Linked DNA regions of Schizosaccharomyces pombe. The protein of the gene in region 1 purifies or fractionates together with the protein of each later gene. This does not show direct contact. Each region holds a gene or a part of one and is shown in the gene's direction. Other genes may lie near its edges.

Region 1 (5,012 bases):
TTCAACTAGCTGCGATTCGAGTCCATAATTTTTTGATAAAGCAGACGCATATTCATTTATTTCTGAAAAAGCTTCGGTAGAGTTTGGAGTTGTGGTTACATTTTCTAATTCGTTTTTCACTGTTTCGCATTGTGAGAAGAAATCGTCAATATCATCCAAAAACTATATTAAGTTAGTTAAGCGTAAATTAAAGAGCCAATGTTATGCGTACGTTTTGTTGATGGGACAATTTAATGTACTCATTTCGTAACTGTATTTTTTTACGTTGCACTGATAGTCGATCTTCCCTCAATTTCGAGAGATCCCGTTGAACAGCTAGTTTCTCATTTGCTGCTTTTTTACAAGCTGTTGATAAAATTCGATTAGCGTCCAGCAAGTCTATTAACTCTAGTAAACGAATAGAAACTTGTTCCACAAACGCATTTTTTACCTTGACTACATAGGGTTCTAGTGGCTCATTCTCTTTTATAAATTCTTGAAAAAATTGCTGTACGGCATCAAGCTCATTAAGAGTCTTTGACCCTCCTGCTTCTTTAGAAAGTTTGGTTAACTCGATACGCACGAGCTCATCTGAGGCTCCCACTACAATATCCTTTTCTGTTGATTGATCCAAAAGATTTCTAGGAGCCATTGATGATGTCTGTAAGGAACTTTGCAGACTACTACTTTGATTCGTCAAAGATTCCGGAGAAGAAGTGGAGATAGGAGAAGCAATTCGCTCTTCAGGGGCCTGAGAACTAAATGTTGTTCCTGTCACATTGCCTGGATGTTCCTCTTGGAACGAATCTTGAGATGAGTCGAGAGATGACAGCCTTTGTACTTTGTTAGGTGGTGAATTTTCTAGGATTGAAGAACTATATGCATCAGAGGTTTCTATATTATCACGTTTGTGAAACGGAATGGATTCCCTTTGTATTTTTTTCTGCTTATGAGAAAAAAAATGATTGTCTTTGACTAAAATATTTGCGCTACTCTGCGTCTCACGTGCGACAGCCGATGAAGATACATTTTCGATGCTGGAAACGGAATTTTCCCGAACTACTTCTTCAGAAATCCTTCTTTCAAGTATATTTTCTTGATCGGAAATAGAAAAAATAGATGTACTGTCATCCAAATCGCTAATTTTATGATATGCCTCTGATTGAGATACAATTTCAAGGTTTTGTTGGTTTGAAGCAGGCGAAGAACGAGTTGAACTAGAAGTAGATGACTCTAAATTGGCCAGAAGGTTTTGATCTAATGAAAACTCAACATTTTGAATTTTGTAGCGTCTACATTGGTTAATTTTTACAAAGTTTTGAAATAACATACTCAGCTCCACGCATTCGTGCTGCTCGTCGCTCATCTACGTTATGGGAGTTATTTTCCATAATATTTCATGCAAAATTTTTGCTTTTCTACGCGTATAGTCAAACATGGGGTTTTGGTAGTTGACGAATTCATCCAGCCTTTCTTTCTAGTCATGAATTGATTTTAGCTATTCTTTGTACAGCCCAAATAATAATTTTAACACCATATATTTTAAACTACGTATTCATAAAGCAAACAAATTACACCTATGTAGTTTAATAGTTAAATGTTCGACATATATATAAAACATTCAAATTCAAGTTCGTAACTATTGAAAATTTTCCAAACTCCTATGTGAGAATAAAATAGATAATTTTATTTTTTAACAAACTGATCAAATTTAGTAAATGTCCATTAAGTTTTCTGATTGCATGCCCGTATACATAGAAATTACCAAGTTATACGACAAACGGAACCAAATTTAGTTAATATTTATGTTGGTTCAATAATTATTATTACATTAATCTAAATTTTCGTATTTTTGGACTCAAAAGACTTTAGATAGCTGGTAGCTAGGGAATGAGTTGATGGTCGTCGTGTTTGTAATATTGAAGGCGACTACTTCTAAAAGTTTAACACCACGTATTGCGCGCTTTTTTTGTCCAAATATTATTTCTTTATACAATCCGAAAAGTAACGTTTACTATTCAACATAAATTCGATTGAAACTTTGAATTTATCGTTTGTCATTCCCGTTCACTGCATAATACGAATTAATAAAAGTAAACTATAAAAGAAAGATGGACGATGAAGGTGCTAGGAAAGTTGGTAAGCATTAATTAATTACCTGATTTATTTTAAAGCTGACCGAGACATATAGATGAAAAATGTCCGTTGTGCCAGGCGGACAGATATTTAAATCCAAATATGAAATTACTTATAAACCCTGAGTGCTATCACAAGATGTGTGAGTCTTGTGTAGACGTATGTTTGATTGCATTTGTTAATACAAATAAGAAATGAAGCATGATTTGCTAATTCATAGAGAATATTTACAACTGGACCTGCTCAATGCCCTACTCCTGGGTGCAACAAAATTCTCAGAAAAGCCAAATTTCGAGAGCAAACATTTGAAGATGCTCAAATTGAGCGCGAAGTCGATGTTCGGAAGCGGATATCTCGAATGTACGAACACTGTAGCTTTTTTTTTAATTTACTCTAACGTGCGTTTTTAGCTTTAACAAAGGACAGCAAGAATTTGACAGCTTGCAGGCTTACAATGACTACTTGGAAGAAGTTGAAATTTTAAGTATGTTATTGACAGCGTCAGAATTTTATTAACAATTTTTTTTAGCATTTAATTTGATTTATAAAATCGACGTTGAAGAAACTGAGGAAAAAGTTAAACAATATGAAAAACAAAATCGAGATTCTATAGCAGCAAATTCTGCAAGAGCCGCCGCAGAAGCACGCATTTTGGCTCAAAACGAGATTCTTCTCAAACGCCAAAAGCAAGAAGCAAGAGAAGCGGCTATACGTGAGCATCAAAAAGAAAAGGAAAGACGTGAACAGGTTGAGCAACAAATTATTTTTGATTTAGCTACATCAGGAAAAGATCCTAACAAAATTATCCAACTATCTGATTCCCTTAAAAAGCAACAAGAAAACATTGCCTCTTCGGTTTCAAACATTTCACGTTCATCTTCAATTCTTCTATCTGATGTTCAGCAAGTAGCAGAGGATACTACGCCTTTTAGTCCTCTTGCTGGAGAAAAAGATGGGAGCAAGTATTTTTCATACTCCAAAAACACCTATCAAGATTTGTAAGTGTCAATTTTGTAGCATCACCCATAAATATCATACTAACAACTCGATTAGATATTTGGAAAAAGTTTCGCATGAACCAGGCCGCAAATGCGGTTTCCGTATAGAAGATTGTCATTTGCGATGCTTATATGAGGCTTTTAGTGGCATTGATTACGATTTAGAAAGTCTCAAAAAACTTGAAGTAGCAAGTTAGTCTTGCTTTAATGCTCTCACCATGCAGTTACATTTCATTTTTAAGTAAACGACTATTCCATTTTCATACTAATATATTTATATACGTTTGTGGTAAGTATACTTTATTCTTTGTATTAGTAAATCATAGCCTTTGTATATTACCATTATCCCTAAAATATACAAACTAAAACAAATCCTTGTGATGCTCCCAAAAAGATTAAAACCTATAATATTAATACGGTTTGAATTGCCGCTTTTCTTTTAATTGTTGGATACGCTGTTTATCGAACTCAAACTTATGAGCTAAATCCAAAAGAGCCTTCTTTTTCTTTTCCCGAAGCTGGAAACGGTAAAAATCTTTGTGGATCCCAGTGTCTTTTTTCTTTTCCAATTGACGCTCAGCATCCTGAGGTCGCCCGACAGGTGCCCGGCCGCTGCGAACGACCGTTACGAATCCATCTTCATCAGGTTGATTTTTCATAGCGAATAGTCTCCTCTTTTCTGCTATTTCCTTTTTAGTAACACGTTTCATGTATGAATCAACACTTTCGGCTAGAACACGTGGATTGACAAACTGTCTATCATAACTTTCTACATAACCTATTAAACACATTAGTATTTCCAAAAAAATAATGACCATGTTCTTACGTTTCAAACCAGTATGCTGTGTGAACTTCCAAGGAAGCGAGGTCGTCTTTTTAGAAGCTGCCTTGATAACTTGTTTAACTTCAGCGGGCTCGACTAATTTGACGCGTAAATGGGTGCCACTTTTCAAAAGGCCACTAATATTAGGATAGATATTAACGATACGACCGCCCAATTGAGAAATTGCTCTTTTCAAAATCTTTTCAGTAGTTGTGATAGGAACATTAATCAAATACAGTGACTTCTTTTCAACATCTTCCGTGTCTTCTTTCAAAAATATACTATGCAACCTCTTTTTATTTTCCAAATAAATTTCTAGTTTAACAAACCCTTTTTCTTTGAGCTTGTCCATTTATATGAGTTGTTTGGTTCTTGGGTAAAATGCAATTTGTTACTGAGCTTGACCGAGGGCAAGACCATAGGAGCTGTATACTCTTATACCTTCGCATACTTCATCTCGTTGTGACTATAATTATTATTATATACAATATACATTAAGAATGTTAGAATAAGCGAAAATTAAACTAAGATTTGCTTATTTTCTAGGATTAAAAAAAAAATGTAATTATACAACTTGTAATTTATTTGCTGCTAAATAAAAGCTCCAAAAAGCAATGTAATAATTGAATTGGGAGCTAGAGGTGTTGGATTGTAAATTAATAAAAAAATACAGCTATATTGATATGCGTGGTTGCTAATTGCATTTAGTGTTCCTAACCAAGATAAACGTTTTTAAAAAAGATCCTTATAGCCTACTCATACAAAGTATAGTGCTCGGTATAGTCATTTAAAAGGATTATTGATATTTGAATAAATTACTGCACACGCTTAAGGTAACTTTTTGCATTATAAAATGGTCATTCAAAATTTTTCGTAATAACAAAGAAACGTTATTGTATACTTCTTGTTCGATTGGACTCACTACCTTCTACGACTTCCCTTATGCAAAATCAGTTTTCCAAAAGTTTGAAGTCTTTTAAGTTCTGAGTTTGGGTTAATTGTAGGGGTTTTGCGTCTTATTGGAGTCACAGGAAGCTCTATAGGGCTAAGTTTTCTCAACGGTGAGGATGAGTCTG
Region 2 (3,960 bases), 1.3 Mb from region 1:
GGAGATGATAAAAAAACTTTTATTAGTGCAAGATATACAAATTGCATCGTGTAATGGCTCAAATAAACATAACCTTTGATATTGTTCATCATTGTCAAAATCGGTTAACCTGAGAGCGTTCTTTTCCTCAAATAGTTTATCCTTTCTTCCATATAAACGTAAATGGTCAATTAACTTTCCGTCAATGGTGTTATTAATACCGGCTATTAATTCCTACAATTTAATTTCGTTAGCTATGCAATAAAAAAATATTGCATACATTTTTAAAATAACCCAACGACATAACGGCATCATCCGAATGCTTAAGTTCGATTTCTCCATGTTCTATAAATTTTGTATGACCTTCACCAACTTCAGGTTCATAGTCTTCATATGATAATAACTTCTAAATTCGACAAACTAATTAGCGCCTATAGTCCAATTGTAAAACATAATCTTTTTAGCTAACAATCCGGATACTAAAAAGTTTATAATGCTGTAAAATAGATAGATAATGAAGTAATCCTTCACTTACAGTCACGAATTGACATACCAATTTGTTTTTAACACCAGATTTTGTAGTTCCTCCTCCACCACCAACCGCCATTTGATGGTTATTAATCCAACAAAGAGAATAAGCTGGAAAAGAAAGGTGGAGTTCAGCCATTTTGATCTAATAATTAGAAAACACTTTAAGCTGGATACGAGGAATAGGAATGTATTGAAAAAATAAATCGATATCGGCGACGAATCAAAAAAAAATTCTACTTATTAGTGAGCAAATCAATAAAGTACACTTACAAGAATTCCACTAAAAAAAAACAATGTCTATTTGAATACGGTGGTGTGGGTATGTTTCGAAATCGCTGTGAACCTACTTCGAGACTTAAGCAAATACTGTAAGAATATTAGATCCCCGTATCAGAATCTATCGAATAATATCGACATCACTATCCTCTTTTACGTATTTAGGCGATGTTTAATATATACATAAGTTTTTATCCATTTTTTTATGACAGTAGAGAAAAGATTTAATTAGAGATAACCTAAATCCTTATTGACTTAAAAAAGGATGATACTTACTTGTGGATATTTATTTGCGAAGAATCTTTGAACAAACAGAAACTTATAATAGATTCTTTCTAAATCTCGGAGCATATTCTGGCTCATTTTATATTTATATTTTCCTTTTCAGCTTTTTAGAACTCAATTCCGACCTCAGTTTGGTTGCAACTTTGCTACAGACACTATTTAATATCTCGGTCTCCTGTACATTTTACCAGGTTTACGTTGTATTGTTTATATAGTTTATATAGCAATATTTACTACATGTTCATCATATTACGAAAATAGATTAAGAGAACTGGGGAAAGAGTGAGGAGATGAGAAATTTTCGGATTTATTTATAATTTCCAATTATTATTTTTAAGACGAAATTGCCGCGAGACTACATTGTCCATGAAATTAATGTTTGTGTTTATTCTACTAAAGGGTATGAATGCTCGATCTCGTGCCAAGGTGCCTACAATCTTAATACGCCGCTGCCTGTGTATGATTATAATATTACTTCTGTTTTTTGCACAGAAAGCGTGTTTCATTTCAAAGATTGACTTCCAATTAAATTTAATTAATAATATGTTGTTTCATTTCCTTATTTAACTACCAATTCTTGTTCATTTGCAATTCACTCAAATATGTAACTGAACGTTGTCAGGTAATTTTTTGGCTTTAAATGATATGCCTCAATGGAATATAAAAAAGCATAATCCTATATAACTATTGTTTTTTTCAGCTTCGTTTCAGTGAAATGTTATGCTGATACAAATTGATTGAAACATGAATGCAAGACTTTTTTCAACTCAACAATATTTTATTTATTAGTAAATTTTAGTTTATGTAATAAACTCTTCATTAAATTAATATAACTTTATAGTGCTGCTTTCTTTTTGCACATCGCACATTAATTGCAAAAACTCTCTTCTCCACATCCAGGGTATCTGATGTCCTCGACAAAGTCTCAGCGAACGAGCGATTTGGGTTTTTCATAGCAGAGAAGTATCCAAATTTCAAAAATATTATTATTTTACTGGCTTTATAGAGAAGTATTTAAATTTTTGCATAACCCTCAATTGATAGAGTGCTGTAAATTCTACTTACATTATTCACATGTCTGCCGATAAATTTCGTGATTCCACGCATTACAGAGATTGGATTTTTACGGAAGAAGACCTTTCAAAAACACGTGCTAAAGTAAATGAAAAATTTACGAATATTGTACGTGAGCGAATGCTGGAAGAGTTGTCTTTACAAAACAAGGAAGCATCCTTAGAAGTTTTGCCTCCAACTCTTACCGTTGAAGAAGAACTTGAACTTGTAAATTATTATAGTTTCCAGTTGAACGCACTTTCTTCCGCTCTTTCCTTACCAACTCATATTCGCGTATGTTTAGACATGGTCGGATTTCCTTCAATTACTTGGAAACTGTACTCAATATAAACATTCCGACTTTACTCACAAAATTTTAGTCCACGGCCATTCTTTTTTTTAAACGCTTTTATCTAATTAACTCTGTCATGGAGTATAGTCCAAAAATTATTTCGTATGTTTAAGTCGCCGAGTCCATTAAGCTAACATTGTTTTTCTTACATTAGGTTTACTTCTTTATTTTTAGCTACCAAGTGCAACGATCATTATATCTCTATTGAACAATTCTGTAAAAACATGCCCAAGACGACTCCCGAAGAAGTTCTTGAATACGAATTTAACGTTTGTCAATCATTAAAATGGGACCTTTACGTCTGGCTTCCATTTCGTCCTTTACAAGGCTTCCTTTTAGATTGTCAAACAGTGCTTCCGAAAGTTGCTGTCGAAAAGTTTTACGAATGTCATGACCTTTCCAAAAAATTCCTAATTGAGACATTGCATTCTGACATCTATTTCTTACATTCACCCAGCATAATTGCTTTGGGTGCTATTTATCATACGAATCCAACTATTTGTTTACAATATATAGAAGCAAAAAAAATTCCAGAACTGCAACCTTTGATAATTTCGATTTCTGCCAATTTGAAAGCTACAAAAAAATTTAAGATTGAGAAAAAAAAGGCACAAGATTACGGCAGAAAGCTATATTTCTGCATGAATCCTCTGCGAAACAAGTCTAGTGCTTTGTACCTTAAACGAAAAGCGGAAGAAGAATCAACTAATAACAACAAATGGGCTAAAAAGTTCTCAACCAGCAGTAATGTGTTGGATAAAAATCCGTTTGAATGATTCTTTCTTTGAAAAGTGCTAAATTTACTTCAATAGTCATTATTCGTCAATTTTTTTTACGACAAAATAGTTTACGTTTATAAAAAATTCCCAGTAAAATTCACTATCAAGTGTGTCTCATTAATTATTTTTAATGTCTATTTGTAAAATTAAAAACATTTTCATTTCTCTCACAGCCAAGGAGCCCATAAGACGTCCATCTGTGCCAAAACTTTGGAACTAGAGGCTTGCGCCAAATAATCAATAGCTGTTTGATTGACTGGTAAGTTACCATAAGCAACCTGACTTAATGATGCAACCCTTCGCATTATAAGATCAGTATTGCTATTGACTTTGTTGAGCATACTGAAATCTGCCGGCACGCCTTTAGTTTGCTGTGCAAGCCACCAAAAAAGATCATCTCTAATAAAGATACCCAAGTACATATCCAAATCGAAATCCGGTTTGGAGAGCGCGCGAGCTATAGCCATTATTGAAGGGCCCAGTAAACCTTCAGTACAAGTTTTTCCAATAAATTCTTTAATGTTGGGGGTAAAGCGAAAAGGAACAATTTCTCCATTATGGTAAACTGGAGTAGAAGAAACCATAGATGGCAGCGCTTCTGTTGTCCAAACACCGCCAGAGTCTCTAGAAAAAACAAGCTTAGCAGGTATCCTATTATTTATACTTAGTATGTATGTAATAAATGAAAAACAAGCATATTGGTAT
Region 3 (4,124 bases), on another chromosome or scaffold:
TCGAAAGTAGAAATATCAATCTTGCAGCCTGCATATTTTCGAAGAACTTTACAGGTTTCATCATTTGTATCGTAAGAGTTCATTAAAATGAAAGGCACGGACACATCGTACCGTCTGTTAAGATATTCGATTTGGCGAATGCTAAGGTCGAGGAAACTTTGATTGTCACGAACCTCAATCATGGCTTTAGGATAATTCACACCCAACGCATTTCCCATACCTCCATTTAATTTAACAACTGCAAGCCGATTTAAGTACTTTCCAGCATTTTTGCATAACGGTAAATCACCGTAATCTATCATGTCTTCGGGTCCCAGAGGCCGGATAGAATCCCAATCACATTCATAACCTTTAACTGTGTGTAATAAATATCTTCTATACAAAGCAAAGAAGTTGTCCATTTGTATGCCAAACGTTTTTTTATCCGAAACTCTGGAATTCAGTACAAGTTTATCTAATTCGTTTTTCATCGTACTGGCAGATATGCTAACTGCAACACTGTCAAAGTCCAAAGTGGACTGTGATTTAAAATGAATTCGACGATGCAACATTTTGGAGTTTTGTCGATTCTCCCACTTTTTGGGGTGAGAGTGGTAGGATGAAATGAACCACTAGTTTTAACGATATACACTCCGATGTTCCAACGTGATCTTTTTCACTTGATATCCTCCTTGTTCAGATACTGGCGGATTCTTTTCTGCTATGGATTAGAAAGATAATTACGACAAGTTATTTTGTGTCAAAAATGTCCAAGTTTCTTTTATTGTGTATATCTATCACTAAGTCTTATTACAGTCAGTTCTCGACAAAAAGACTCAAAACTATTAGATACAATTTGTTTTTTATTCTATAAGTGAATTTAATAAAACTTCTCTGTATTAATTTGCATACAGTGACAAATCATTCTGTATGGTTTCGAAATAAGGGCAATATACCTTAAATAACAAACTGAGACACTTTATATCTATGTTTTACGTCTTTTGTTTTATTAAGTAGATTGGTAAAGATGCAACTTATTCAACTTAAATTCAAAACAAAGCAGATAAACAGAAAATCGTTTGCTTGGGCTGAAATAAACAAGTCCAAACTATGGTACTTAAGAAATTACTCGCAACGTTTAAGTTACTAGAAGATATAGAGCTTATGATTACAATGCTATGTTTGCATATCAATACTTCTATTGTTATAAGAAGTAGACTTTGCTTAAATGATTCTGCTGGAATTATCGACAACCATCAGAGTCAAAAAAATTCCTCATACTGCACAACTTTTTGACATGCATTTTTATTATCAGATTAAAACGTTCGCAATTGAAAATTTGATAAAAAGCTGTTTGTTCGCCTAAATTTCAGTATAGCTAGTTCAATGACTAGCTAGGTAATCAATTCAAGTATAGTGAAATGTCTATCACATAGAGTTATAAAGAAAATCAGCTATTTCTAAAAAACACTAACAGAGGATTTGAATTATTGTGGTCATTTATTACTTCATTAATTGTTTCGAGTAAGCCCTTTCTATGTGTTTCACTTGTAATTACCTATTGTTCAACATTCTTTTAGGTCTATTGTTTATAGTTAATAAAAATGAATCTACGTTCTATTGCGCTATATTTATTTAACACAGGCCGACGTAGTTCATTATTAAAATGCAGACTTTCTTATATTAGCTTAACGATTGCTAATCACATTTTGTCACACTGCTATGCAGTTGTTATAGGATAGTATTTAGTTTTTTATAACTCGCTTTGCTTATGATGGAATAAACTCCTTAGAGTCTTCAATAATTATTTACATATGACTTTACGTCCTTTTAAATATACATAGGCTTTTCTCACCTTTTCCACATAAACTATAAGATTCATACCAATAAACTACTTTAACAGCTATTTGCCGTAGTCTTCTGCAGCTCGGTAACCAGATTTCATCTAAAAGTAGTCACATATTTTCTTGTGGAGAGCAGTCACAAATCACTTAGTAGTACTAGAAGGATGCTTCGCCTTTGTCATTCACCACACGCCAAAAAATTTAATTGTAAAAAATGGGCAAGGAAAAGGGACATATTAACGTCGTTGTTATCGGTCACGTCGATTCTGGTAAGTCTACCACCACTGGTCACCTGATTTACAAGTGCGGTGGTATTGACAAGCGTACCATTGAAAAATTCGAGAAGGAAGCCACCGAGTTGGGTAAGGGTTCCTTCAAGTACGCCTGGGTTTTGGACAAGCTCAAGGCCGAGCGTGAACGTGGTATCACTATCGACATTGCCCTTTGGAAGTTCGAGACTCCCAAGTACAATGTTACTGTCATTGATGCCCCCGGTCACCGTGATTTCATCAAGAACATGATTACCGGTACTTCTCAAGCTGACTGTGCTGTCCTTATTATTGGTGGTGGTACTGGTGAGTTCGAGGCTGGTATCTCCAAGGATGGTCAAACCCGTGAGCACGCTTTGCTTGCTTACACCTTGGGTGTCAAGCAACTTATTGTTGCCGTCAACAAGATGGACACCACTGGCTGGTCCCAAGCTCGTTTCGAGGAAATCGTTAAGGAGACCTCCAACTTCATCAAGAAGGTCGGTTTCAACCCCAAGACCGTTCCTTTCGTCCCTGTCTCCGGTTTCCAAGGTGATAACATGATTGAGCCCACCACCAACATGCCCTGGTACCAAGGCTGGCAAAAGGAGACCAAGGCTGGTGTCGTCAAGGGTAAGACTCTTTTGGAGGCTATTGACTCCATTGAGCCCCCTGCACGTCCCACTGACAAGCCTCTTCGTCTCCCCCTTCAAGATGTTTACAAGATCGGTGGTATTGGTACAGTTCCCGTCGGTCGTGTTGAGACTGGTGTTATCAAGCCCGGTATGATTGTCACCTTCGCTCCCGCTGGTGTCACTACCGAAGTCAAGTCTGTTGAGATGCACCACGAGTCTCTCGACGCTGGTCTTCCCGGTGACAACGTTGGTTTCAACGTTAAGAACGTTTCCGTCAAGGATATTCGCCGTGGTAACGTCTGTGGTGACTCCAAGAACGATCCTCCCATGGGTTGTGCTAGCTTCACCGCTCAAGTCATCATTCTTAACCACCCCGGTCAAATCTCTGCTGGTTACTCTCCTGTTTTGGATTGCCACACTGCTCACATTGCTTGCAAGTTCGCTGAGCTCATTGAGAAGATTGACCGTCGTTCCGGTAAGAAGATTGAGGAGTCCCCCAAGTTTGTCAAGTCTGGTGATGCTTGCATTGCTAAGATGGTTCCTTCCAAGCCTATGTGTGTTGAAGCTTTCACTGACTACGCTCCTCTTGGTCGTTTCGCTGTCCGTGACATGCGTCAAACCGTCGCTGTCGGTGTCATCAAGGCCGTTGAGAAGGTTGCCCCTGGTGCCGCTAAGGTCACTAAGGCCGCTGTTAAGGCTGGCGCCAAGAAGTAAACATTTTTTACTTCGGATTTAAGTAGATCTTGAGTTGTTGTAATCAGGATAGGCTAGTGAATGTTATATTGTTGATTAATATAATTTGGTATACTACTCAGTAATTAAATTTACTTATAACTTAGGAATTGAAATTTAAATTGCATGGTTAAATATAGATTTGCAACGATAATTCTTTTTTTCATTTTTTAAGTGCAAAATATGTATATGTAGAACTAAGTGCGTACATATGGAGGACTTTGAATAGGTGTCGGAGACATAGCACGATTAAGATTCAACATATCAAGCAGAGGTACACGGTTGCTCGTTTGTCTTGTAAGATTTATTTCCGACGGAGAACGTACGACAGTACTAGCAGTGTGTGGCCTTGATAGAGCCTGTTTCAATGTGCTAACCATTTCTCCACGTTGTGATTGCTGGTGAATAGAAACGAGCGACTTGGTAGCATGAAGTAAAGGATTTTGTTGGTAATCCGAAGCCGGTGATATAAATGGAAGTGAATATTCTGAAGAAGAAGTAAAAGACTTTTCGCGAGACGGTTTCTTTAATTTTTGAATAATATCGGTGTACTTGGGGTGTCGCGATTGCTCAGCAAATAGTAGTCTAGAGTCCTCTGGGAATACTTTCGGGCTTTTCTCCAATAATTCATTTACAACCATGTCCAAAGGCAACATGACTTCCTCGGTAGAGGCATTTGTTAGTTT

What was found. The genes of interacting proteins can lie anywhere in the genome.
Region 2: the proteins of pmh1 (region 1) and mcs2 purify together in Schizosaccharomyces pombe (affinity purification with mass spectrometry, with the first as the bait; one study listed by BioGRID). This does not show direct contact.
Region 3: the proteins of pmh1 (region 1) and tef101 purify together in Schizosaccharomyces pombe (affinity purification with mass spectrometry, with the first as the bait; one study listed by BioGRID). This does not show direct contact.

The regions. Positions count from the first base shown.
Region 1 is NC_003423.3:3,210,629-3,215,640, reverse strand, and holds pmh1 (transcription factor TFIIK complex ubiquitin-protein ligase E3 subunit, Pmh1), read left to right. Parts: upstream 1-1,924; 5' UTR 1,925-2,090; coding exon 2,091-2,118; exon of another isoform or gene 2,119-2,170; coding exon 2,171-2,274; exon of another isoform or gene 2,275-2,335; coding exon 2,336-2,475; exon of another isoform or gene 2,476-2,486; intron 2,487-2,525; coding exon 2,526-2,599; intron 2,600-2,644; coding exon 2,645-3,113; exon of another isoform or gene 3,114-3,168; coding exon 3,169-3,310; 3' UTR 3,311-3,523; coding exon of another isoform or gene 3,524-3,891; 3' UTR 3,892-3,939; coding exon of another isoform or gene 3,940-4,288; 3' UTR 4,289-4,450; downstream 4,451-5,012. Other genes in the region: kinetochore protein Mis17 , read right to left, coding at 1-162, 212-1,271, 1,312-1,370; rRNA processing protein Rrp7, read right to left, coding at 3,524-3,891, 3,940-4,288; protein Mis20, read right to left, coding at 4,858-5,012. UniProt on the Schizosaccharomyces pombe protein: Acts as a component of the general transcription and DNA repair factor IIH (TFIIH or factor B), which is essential for both basal and activated transcription, and is involved in nucleotide excision repair (NER) of damaged DNA.
Region 2 is NC_003423.3:1,891,011-1,894,970, forward strand, and holds mcs2 (transcription factor TFIIH complex cyclin Mcs2), read left to right. Parts: upstream 1-1,969; 5' UTR 1,970-2,145; coding exon 2,146-2,418; exon of another isoform or gene 2,419-2,504; coding exon 2,505-2,578; exon of another isoform or gene 2,579-2,630; coding exon 2,631-3,252; 3' UTR 3,253-3,398; downstream 3,399-3,960. Other genes in the region: GDP/GTP exchange factor Spo14, read right to left, coding at 1-213, 260-385, 533-646; SAGA complex, phosphatidylinositol pseudokinase subunit Tra1, read right to left, coding at 3,423-3,960. UniProt on the Schizosaccharomyces pombe protein: Essential for progression through the cell cycle. Possesses kinase activity that can be detected when myelin basic protein (MBP) is provided as an exogenous substrate.
Region 3 is NC_003421.2:267,393-271,516, reverse strand, and holds tef101 (translation elongation factor EF-1 alpha Ef1a-a), read left to right. Parts: upstream 1-2,000; 5' UTR 2,001-2,037; coding exon 2,038-3,420; 3' UTR 3,421-3,562; downstream 3,563-4,124. Other genes in the region: ugp1 (UTP-glucose-1-phosphate uridylyltransferase), read right to left, coding at 1-551; protein efr3, read right to left, coding at 3,636-4,124. UniProt on the Schizosaccharomyces pombe protein: This protein promotes the GTP-dependent binding of aminoacyl-tRNA to the A-site of ribosomes during protein biosynthesis.